Canis lupus familiaris: one gene and its partner. The protein of the gene in region 2 interacts with the protein of the main gene of each other region in a pairwise test. Links are inferred from orthologs where the notes say so. Each region holds a gene or a part of one and is shown on either strand. Other genes may lie near its edges.

Region 1 (4,274 bases), on a different chromosome or scaffold from region 2:
CTTCATTTTCAGCGTTTTTAAAGGTTATTATGCTGTTCTCTGGCTTCTGGTGTTTCTGTTGAAAAGTCAGACATCAGTTTTATGACTGTTCCTTTGAATTTAATGTGTTCTCCAACTTGCTCACTGCCTCAAAATGTGGCTGTTTTTAAGATTCGGTTTTTAAGATAAGTTTAAGCATGATATGACTGAACATGGTTTCCTCTGTATCCAACTTTGGATCTGTTCAGATTCTCTTATGAGTTGGTATCTTTTTTTTTTTTTTAATCAAAAATGTTCAGCCATTACATCTTCAAATACACTTCTGCTTCATTCTTTCTCTTCTTACAGGTGTCTAATGATAAACACGCGTCCCTTGCATTCTGTTTTCTGTCCTCCTCCCTCACCCAGCTGGCTCTACTACCCAGTCTGAGCTTATTTATTTATTTATTAGAAAGATTTTTATTTATTTATTAATGTAGACACACAGAGAGAGGCAGAGACATTGGCAGAGGGAAAAGCAGGCTCCATGCAGGAAGCCCGATGTGGGACTCAATCCCGGATCCAGCATCACGCCCTGAGCCAAAAGCAGACATTCAACTGCTGAGCCACCCAGGCACCCCCAGTCTGAGCTCATTTAATCCTGTCTTCTGTTGTGCTCAACCTGCTGCTAAAATCACCCAATGAGTTAATTTCGGGTGTATTTTTTTAATTATCCAATATTCATTTGATTCTTTGTATAGATTCCAATTATGCTGAAATTCTCCACTTTTTCTCATTTTATTTAACATATTAATCAGAGTTAGTTTAAAATACCTACCATTCTAACCATACAGAAAAAATGGTAAATGACTTGTTTTATAAAATGCCAACAGAGTAAGTAGAATGTGTACCCTTTTACATTATAGACAGTTAAGTTTCTTATGAAAAATGACACTTCTTAGGACAAAGAAGAGGACATGCTGGATTGCAGCCCAGTTGTTTCTAGAAAAAAGTCCTTACCTTTGCTAAGGTTTTCTTGGAGTAAATGTCAGTGCGAAGACCAAAGTTCTGCAAATCAATTGGTTTCTCCTTGTTCTTCTCAGGAAAATTTAACATCTGCTGAGCAGCAGGGACCTAGGAGTTGGACAAATGATAGATGGCTGTATTAACCTCTACAAAGTAAGGGGGGATAGAAGGTTTTACAGTACTGTTTAATACTGACATGTAAGGAGATTTTATTAAAAAAATAAATATCCAAACCTTTGCCCTACACTTCCAACATTGCAACATACTATATAAGCAACATTTTTCTGCCTCTCTTAAATCCCAGAGAAAACAGTAAACAGATTTTCTTTAATATGCTCTACCATTTCATGTAAAGAACAATTCTTGCCCTAGACTCATGCTACTCTAACTTAAGGCTATATAAAATCTGGTTAACATACTAATCTTTTCAAGAATGTATGTGTGTGGATATCCACTTTCCAAAAGTTAGGAAAGGGAAGAAGTTTCACACATCAGTGTATAATCAGTGTAATAATAATGCCTGATACTAGTTTTTTAGTGTAATAATTACTAATACTAAAACTATAATATTAATGTAATAATTAAGTTACCTGAGGTGATCGAAGATGTAGAGGCACAAGCCCAGAGGGGGTATCAGCTAACACATTAAAATGAGGAGTAGGAGGAGGTCCCATTGCCATGGGTCGACTTTCTGGATCCACTTGGTAATTAACAAGCCCCCACTGCTCTAAAAAGGCATGAACCCTGGAAGAGTAAAGCTCATAAAGTTAAAATCTAGGGAATGTATCTCATTTCCTTCATAACCATTATCGCATTTCATTAAAAAATAAAAACAACAAAACAAGTAAATGTTCTCTGCAGGCTATGAACCATCATAAAGTTAATTAACAATTTTGGTTTGTTGTATGAGGGACAATTTCTGTAAATTCAAAATAATATTGACAGCAAAGCGGGATCCCTGGGTGGCGCAGCGGTTTGGCGCCTGCCTTTGGCCCAGGGCGCCATCCTGGAGACCCAGGATCGAATCCCACATCGGGCTCCCGGTGCATGGAGCCTGCTTCTCCCTCTGCCTATGTCTCTGCCTCTCTCTCTCTCTCTGTGACTATCATAAATAAATAAAAATTAAAAAAAAAAAAATATTGACAGCAAAGCACCCCAAAACCCAGTACAAAGCCTAATTATTTCAATCACAGAAATCAGAGAACAAATGTTCATTGAAGTCCATGGTGAAAGAACTCACACACAGACCAAATTCAAACAGAAGATTCACATGTGATTTGCTTCTTTAGATAGATCTACTGTACAGAGCTTATCCACTCTCCATCCCTGGTCGTTTTAGGATTTCATTATAAAACAAAAGATGTCAGTTATAAAAATCTTAAAATGAGGAGAAAATGCCACGGTATTAAATATACAACTAAATAAAAGATATTTGATTAAGGTATTTTATTAAGAAAGAAAAGATCTTGTTTCATCAAACATTAAACAGCAATGCATCAGTAACCACCTAAAGTGAAGTGTCTGAGAAAAACTCAGGCATCTTTACCTCATCACAGCACACACGTCTCCAGTCAAGTTCCTCCGACAAGCAGTGCTGGTTAAATACTCTTGTGGGTTTAGGCGATATGTGTCAATCATAAAATTTCGATATGCCAAGTATCTAAAAAGCAGAGGCAAAATTCATAAGGCAGACACACATCCTTTCAGAAATAACAACTCACAGAGCCCAAAATTATCATATTCCAACCAAATCCACCAAAAAGTCAATATTCCAACCAACAATAGTATTGACTATTTACAGTCATGAATGTAACTAAGGATAAAAACCCCTAATATGCAAAAGAAAACCCACTATTATTTAAAAACAATAAATAAAATGGAGTAAAATCTGATGAAGTTAAAGTAACACAGGGCGCCTGGCTGGCTTAGTTGATAGAGCATGTGACTCTTGATCTTGGGGAGGGGAGTTCAAGACCCACAATGGGTAGAGTTCGCTTAAAAATGATGATGATAATAGTAATGTGAACATAAATACAAAAGTGGTCACAGTGGTGAATGGATAAATCCTTAGTTCCCTGCTGAATTTGCAAATAACACCTGGTCACTTAGGCTGTCTCCCAACTACTGTGTATCCTACCATAATTCATTTAAATCTCACAATTTCTTCATAAAGTAGGGTTTACTACTATCATCTCATTTATCAACAAGCAAATTAAAGCACAGAGTGATTAAAAACTGTGTCCTAGACCACAAGGCTAGTAACTATGGAGCTAGAATTCAACATGGTGGAGGGAGATACTCTGGAATCTATGCTCTTAACACATGTTCCATCTCATCTCTATATTCTTCCTAGAGCTACATGTGGGTCAGGTCAGTGGCTATATACCCAGTTAGGCAAGGACTAGAACCCATGAGGGCAAAATCAAAGCTAAGACAAGAACAGATAAAAAAAAGAGAGAGAGAGAGAGAAACTGATTTTTTGAGTCACAGCAGATTTCACAACATCCCTAAGCATTTCTATGACAAAATATTTAAAACAAGTGAAAAGAAGCTAGAGAGCTAGCAAAAGTTCTCACCACAAAAGTAAAACAAAAATCTAGCAAGTTAAGGGTGACTACATCAGAGTAGAGAAGGTACCCTGCTCAAAAAAGCTCTCGTATATGGACAAGTGGATAAACAAAGATCTAAAGATAAATTTTTAGATTTACGGAAACTAAAATGCTAAATTGTGCTTTTAAACAAGAGACTGCCAAGAACTGGAACTATTTACAAATGGTAGCAATTGCCAAGTTAGCCAAAAGAATATACCATGTCTAACTAGATGAAAAAAAATTATCAGGGTTTCTTATACCAAATCTGTGATTGTGGTTTTAAATGAATCCTTACAGCTTTGTTATAGAAAGGTTGAATTATCTTTGACATCTAATCTTCAAATCTCAAACTATCATGGACAATCTTTTACAAGAAAATATTATTCAATTATTCCAATATGTGTTTTATGTGGACAGTTATCCTTCTCTACCAATTTAAATAAGAGACATCTATTTGTGAAGTCATGTGAGCATAGCAAACAATGAATTAATACTAAAAGGTAATATACAGAAAAGTATTTATAGTATGATATAGGTATGGATTTATTTTCGGGGACAGCGTTTCCAGAAATGTGTTTTTAGTGGTCACTAGGCAAAGGCAAAAATACTTCCTGACAAGATTCTTCCATCCAATACAAGATTCTGTATTTCCAATGCAAAAGCACAACAATGTTTTATGTACTTAGGACCGATTTACAG
Region 2 (4,765 bases):
CCTGCGCTGCACCCCGACTCCACAGGGCTGGGAGCAAGAGGTCCACGGGTCCCAAGGACCCCAGACACCCTCAGGCCCCTGACCCTCCTCCGAGGGTGTCTGAAGAGAGCGTCCAGACGATATCTATGTAGACAAGAAGACCAGACAAAATGAGAAGGATTTTCGAGGGAACTGTTTGGACGGCTGGTCCAGTACCCGAAGGTCGGGCAGTCGTTACTGGACTGAGGTCACTTTCAGTAGCAGGGGTGAGATGTGGCCAGGAGGGTGAAAGAGAGGCTGGGAGGGCGAACGTGAGAGGCGCCCCGGCTCATCTGAAGCCGTGCAGGGCGGCTGCGTGGCCTGGAGAAGTGGGGTGGGAGCCAGGGAGGAAGAAAGGATCACACCCTCTGGCCCCTGGCTTACCTCCTGCTCCAGGCAGAGCTCCGGGAGGGACAGAAGCAGCATCAGACATAACCGGGGCCTGCCAACCAGCCAGAGGAGGTGTTGTGACACCCCCCACCCCGCCCCGCAGCGGGCAGCCAGCATCCCGGCGCCAGCTTCTCAGAAAGCAGAAGTTGCCCATCACTTGCCCCCGCCCTGCCCAGCAGTGGCCGTCCCCTCACTTCCAGGGACAGAGTGGCCCTCCGGCTGGCAGCCCCACACTTACCTGCCCGCCCACTTCTCCATCGCTCCTCCCTGGATGCCCGGGGCAGGGGACAGAGGACCGGGAGTAAACACACTACTCCCGCATCTGGGCGCTGAGAGGGCACGCTCTGTGGGGACAGGAGCCATGTGGTCACTTCTCCAGGCGCCAGAAAGCCAGGGGGTTGGCACGGAGGGCTACTCAGAAGGGCATCTCTGAGAGAGGATGGAGGGGTGTGGGGGGAGTGGTCCACCCCCTCTGACCTTAAGGGTGAGAGCAGGAAGGAATGCTGCCCTTCCTGGGCCGCTGAGGCTGGAAGGTGGGGGGCTGACCTCAGCCTCCAGACCGTGGCTCAGTGGCTCAGTCCCCTCCTGTCAGCCTGCAGGAACTCCTCAGCTCCTCCCTCCTCCCCACTAGGGATTGTTTACAGGACAGCTTGGGCCACACAGCACACGCTCTTCCTGAAGATGATTCTGATCTGGTTTGCCCTCCTCCCTCCCAGAGGACCCCGATGGCCGAGGGAGGCATGGGTGACAACATGTGGGACACCCACTCCAAGGAGTGGACCAGAAGCCCCATGGGAGTTCCTTTCCCTACCTGCCACCCAGCTCTTTCTCCCATTTTTAACGAAGCTCCTTCTGGAACACTCAGGCATCTCTGCCGGACTCAAACACTTTGTAGCCAAGAGATAAACTAAGTGGGCTGATGATTTAATCTCTGGAGAAGCAGGTGATTTTCCCCATCCCTCTGCACTGGCAATGAGAGCTTATGTCAGGCCCAACGATGACAGGCTGGGGGTACCCAGGAAGGAAAGATGCAGCTAGAGCTGCCCTTGCTCCCCAGCCACAGGCCTATCATTCTGAGGAGTAAGGAAGTCCATCCTACCTTTCATCGTCAGCAAAGTAGAGCATGGAACCCACCCCTGGTCTCAAAGCTCTCCAGCCCCTTGCTGCTCACTCTGAGCCCTTCCCACCCTCACTCCTCAACCTGCTCTTGGTTCTGCTTTCCAGGAAAAAAAAAAAAAAATGTTTCTGTTGGATCTGAAAGGCACCCAGGAGAGGAATCCAAGGAGCTGATGCCGAGGTGGGCCAGCTCGGGGGCAGGAGAATGAGACGGAAGGGCAGGAATGTACTTGGCGGTAAGGACACTCTCAGCCCCAGTCTCCTCTCTGAGACCCCAAGACTTGGAAGTCTGTGGGAGGGTTTGCAGAGGTTGGGCCTGGGTGCACAGGGTCACCTCAGCGGCTTTAGGTTGAGAAGGGGTTGCTGATGGCTGCTCCACCCTGATGGGGGTATAGAGGCTCTGAGAAGAGCCAACGGTCCACCCAAACCTTTAGCTCTGGCCTGCCTCTGTTCCTGTGGTTGAAGAGGAGAGATGGGGGTGATGGTCACCATCTGTCCCTGTCTGCTGCTGGCTACCCTCTCCACTCCCTCTGGACAGTCTCTGCTTCTCTCTGCTACCCCGGCTCTGTATCTTGCTGTCTCTCTCTGCGGGTCTACCCAGTACACATAATCCCGTCCTGAGCTGGGTTTGGCTTTGGCAGTTCCCTGGAGAAGTGAGGGGTGGGGGGTGGGGGTGACGTGAACTCCTGGAGCCCTGGCCAGGCCTGGCTCCCTCTCTGGAAAAGTCCTACCCCACCCCCTGTACAGCTGGGCAGGGGGCCGACACCCCCTCCACTGCAGAGACAGACATACATTTGTGCTTCTCACCCCTTTTCATGTTCCTCATGTGGGGTGTCTCACTGCCCAGGGTGAGGAAGGGAGAGGTCAGAAGTGGTCACCCCGGCACCAGGCTAGACACTGGTCTGGACAAACCTGGGCTCCTCCTGGCCACAGCTCCACACTGGCCAGTGAGGATCAAGGAGAGACCCAGGCAGGGCTAACCCCTTCACCCCCAGAGGGACCCACTTCTGGGAAACGGGTTGCTGCTGCAGGGGAGGGGTGGGACAGCGTGTTCCAGGAGAGCCCCTCTCCTGGGTCAGAACTTCCTGGTCCTCACTGTGCCCTCCATTCCCTGGTCCGGAGGACCATCCAAACAGGTGTCTTTCCTTTTCTAGTCTTCGGGCTGAGCTGGATCAAGGGCAACCCCCGGCACCGGTCCCAGCGTCCCTGGCCCCAACCCCGAGACTTAAGGGGGTGGCAGAGGCACACATCCTCGAAGGAGCACCCTCCCGGAGGAGGAGGGCAGGAGGCGCCAGCGCGTGCGGGGAGGTCCTGGGTATGTTTTCCAACTTCACTCCCGCGACTTAGTAGGAATTTTGGCTGATTCTCCGACCGGGTGATGGGGCCAGAGTTCCGCAGGATCGGAATCCCCTCCCCAGGAATTCGACCCCCGGAACTGGAAGATCTCCGGAGACTACAGAGCTGGGGCCGGAGCAGCGGCTGGGGTGGCGACCGCGGGACGCGGGGGCGGCGCGGCGGGGGCTCTGACCGGGCGGGAGGGCGGGCGGCCGGGGTCTCGGGGAGGGGGGTCTGTACCTGCTCCGCGCGGCCCCGGCGGCCTTAACCCTTCTGTGCCCGAGCGCTGTCTGGAGGCAGCCTTGCTCCGCGACGGCCACTCCGGCCCCTGAGCCGCGCTCGGGACACCACGGCCTCCGGCCGCGGCTCCGCCCCCCGCCCGCCCCGCCCCGCCCCTGCCTGCTGGCGCCCGCCCGCCCCGCGCCCCTCCGCGGCCCCCAGCCCCCGCCGCGGGCCGCGACCACCCGGCGTGCGGGCCCCGCGGGTCCCTGGCGCGAGCGCTGGCCCGGCTGGGGCGGGGGCGGGGGCGGGGGCGCGGGGCGCGGGGCGGGGGGCGGGGGCCCGGCCTGCTCGCTGGCTCTGAGCGGAGGCTTCCCCCCGCCGCTCCGCGCAGCCTCGTGCGGGCGGATCAGCCCGGCCTGCCCCGGGTGGGGCTGTGGCCGCGCGGTGTGACGGCTCGGGGACCTCGACGAGCCTCGATTTCTCCATCCATAAAACGTTACACACGGGGACGCTGGCTCTGCGGTTGGGCGTCTGTCTGCCTCCGCCCAGGGCGTGACCCCAGGTCCCAGAATCCAGTCCCGCGTCGGGCTCCCTGCATGGAGCCCGCTTCTCCCTCTGCCTGTGTCTCTGCCTCTCTCTCTGTGTCTCTCTCTGTGTGTGTGTCTCTCTCATGAATATATAAATAAAATCTTTAAAAAAAAAATGTTACACACATAGGGCGTGTAGCAGAAGAAATGCGCTGACTTAGGAGTCAGAGGATCTGGATGTGCATCTTAGCTCCAGGAGGCGCCAGCTGTGTGACCCTGGGTGAAGACTTCAACCTTTCTGTGCTGCAGTTTCCTTGTCTGTAAAATGGAACTAATCTGACGTGTCTGATGGGCTGGGAGATAGGGCTGCCCACCCGGATCTGGAGGAATGCACCCCAGACTCAGGGTGGTCACACTGGGGAGCAAAAAAAAAAAAAAAAATAGGCTTTAGCTTTTTACCCTGTCCGCTTATGTATTGTTTGAGTTTTCACCCAGAAGCTCTATGTTTAGTTACGTTAATAAATAAATAATTTATACAACATGGCTGACATAGAGTAGATAATAAATGGTTACTACTATTTAAGATTTTTATTTGCCATCTACTCATGAACCATAGTGACAGATTGTTGGGTTGACTATTTTCTTTTTCTTTTTTTAAAGATTTATTTATTTATTTGAGAGACAGACAGACAGCAAGAGCAGGAGGGCCAGAGGGAGAGGAAGAGAGAAACTCAAGCAGAGTCCTTGCTGAATGCAGAGCTGGACTCCAGGCTCAAACTCACAATCCTGAGATCATGACCTGAGCCAAAACAAGAGTCCGAGGCTTAATTGACTGACTGAGCTACCCAAGTGCACAGTATTTTCAAGCTTTGTGGTCTTTTTTTTTTTTATTGACTTGTCAATATTTTAAAACCAGATAGTTAATAGCTTCTCTTGAAAAATAAAAACATAAAAATAGAAGCTCTAGGAGAGCCTGGGGAGCTCAGTCATTTGAGGGCCTGCCTTGGGCTGGGGTTGTGATCCTAGAGTCCCGGTGTGGAACCCCACATCAGGCTCCCTGATCAGCAGGAAGTCTGCCTCTCCCTCTCCCTCTGCTCCACCCCCGCCCATGCTCTCTCTCTCTCTTACTCACACTCTCTCTTAAAGAAGTAAAGAAA

Evidence for each region. The genes of interacting proteins can lie anywhere in the genome.
Region 1: the proteins of ADAMTSL4 (region 2) and SMARCC1 interact in binary tests that used the Homo sapiens proteins (3 or more experiments, as listed by UniProt). The two-hybrid records come from large-scale screens. The link is inferred for Canis lupus familiaris from reciprocal best matches to the Homo sapiens genes ADAMTSL4 and SMARCC1.

What each region holds. Positions count from the first base shown.
Region 1 is NC_049241.1:41,658,627-41,662,900, reverse strand, and holds part of SMARCC1 (SWI/SNF complex subunit SMARCC1), read right to left. Parts: intron 2,645-4,274; coding exon 2,531-2,644; intron 1,729-2,530; coding exon 1,575-1,728; intron 1,093-1,574; coding exon 979-1,092; intron 1-978. UniProt on the Homo sapiens protein: Involved in transcriptional activation and repression of select genes by chromatin remodeling (alteration of DNA-nucleosome topology).
Region 2 is NC_049238.1:60,392,464-60,397,228, reverse strand, and holds the start of ADAMTSL4 (ADAMTS-like protein 4), read right to left. Parts: upstream 3,231-4,765; 5' UTR 3,100-3,230; intron 2,840-3,099; exon of another isoform or gene 2,679-2,839; intron 1,761-2,678; exon of another isoform or gene 1,633-1,760; intron 1,352-1,632; exon of another isoform or gene 753-1,351; 5' UTR 667-752; coding exon 647-666; exon of another isoform or gene 461-646; coding exon 403-460; exon of another isoform or gene 124-402; coding exon 1-123. UniProt on the Homo sapiens protein: Positive regulation of apoptosis. May facilitate FBN1 microfibril biogenesis.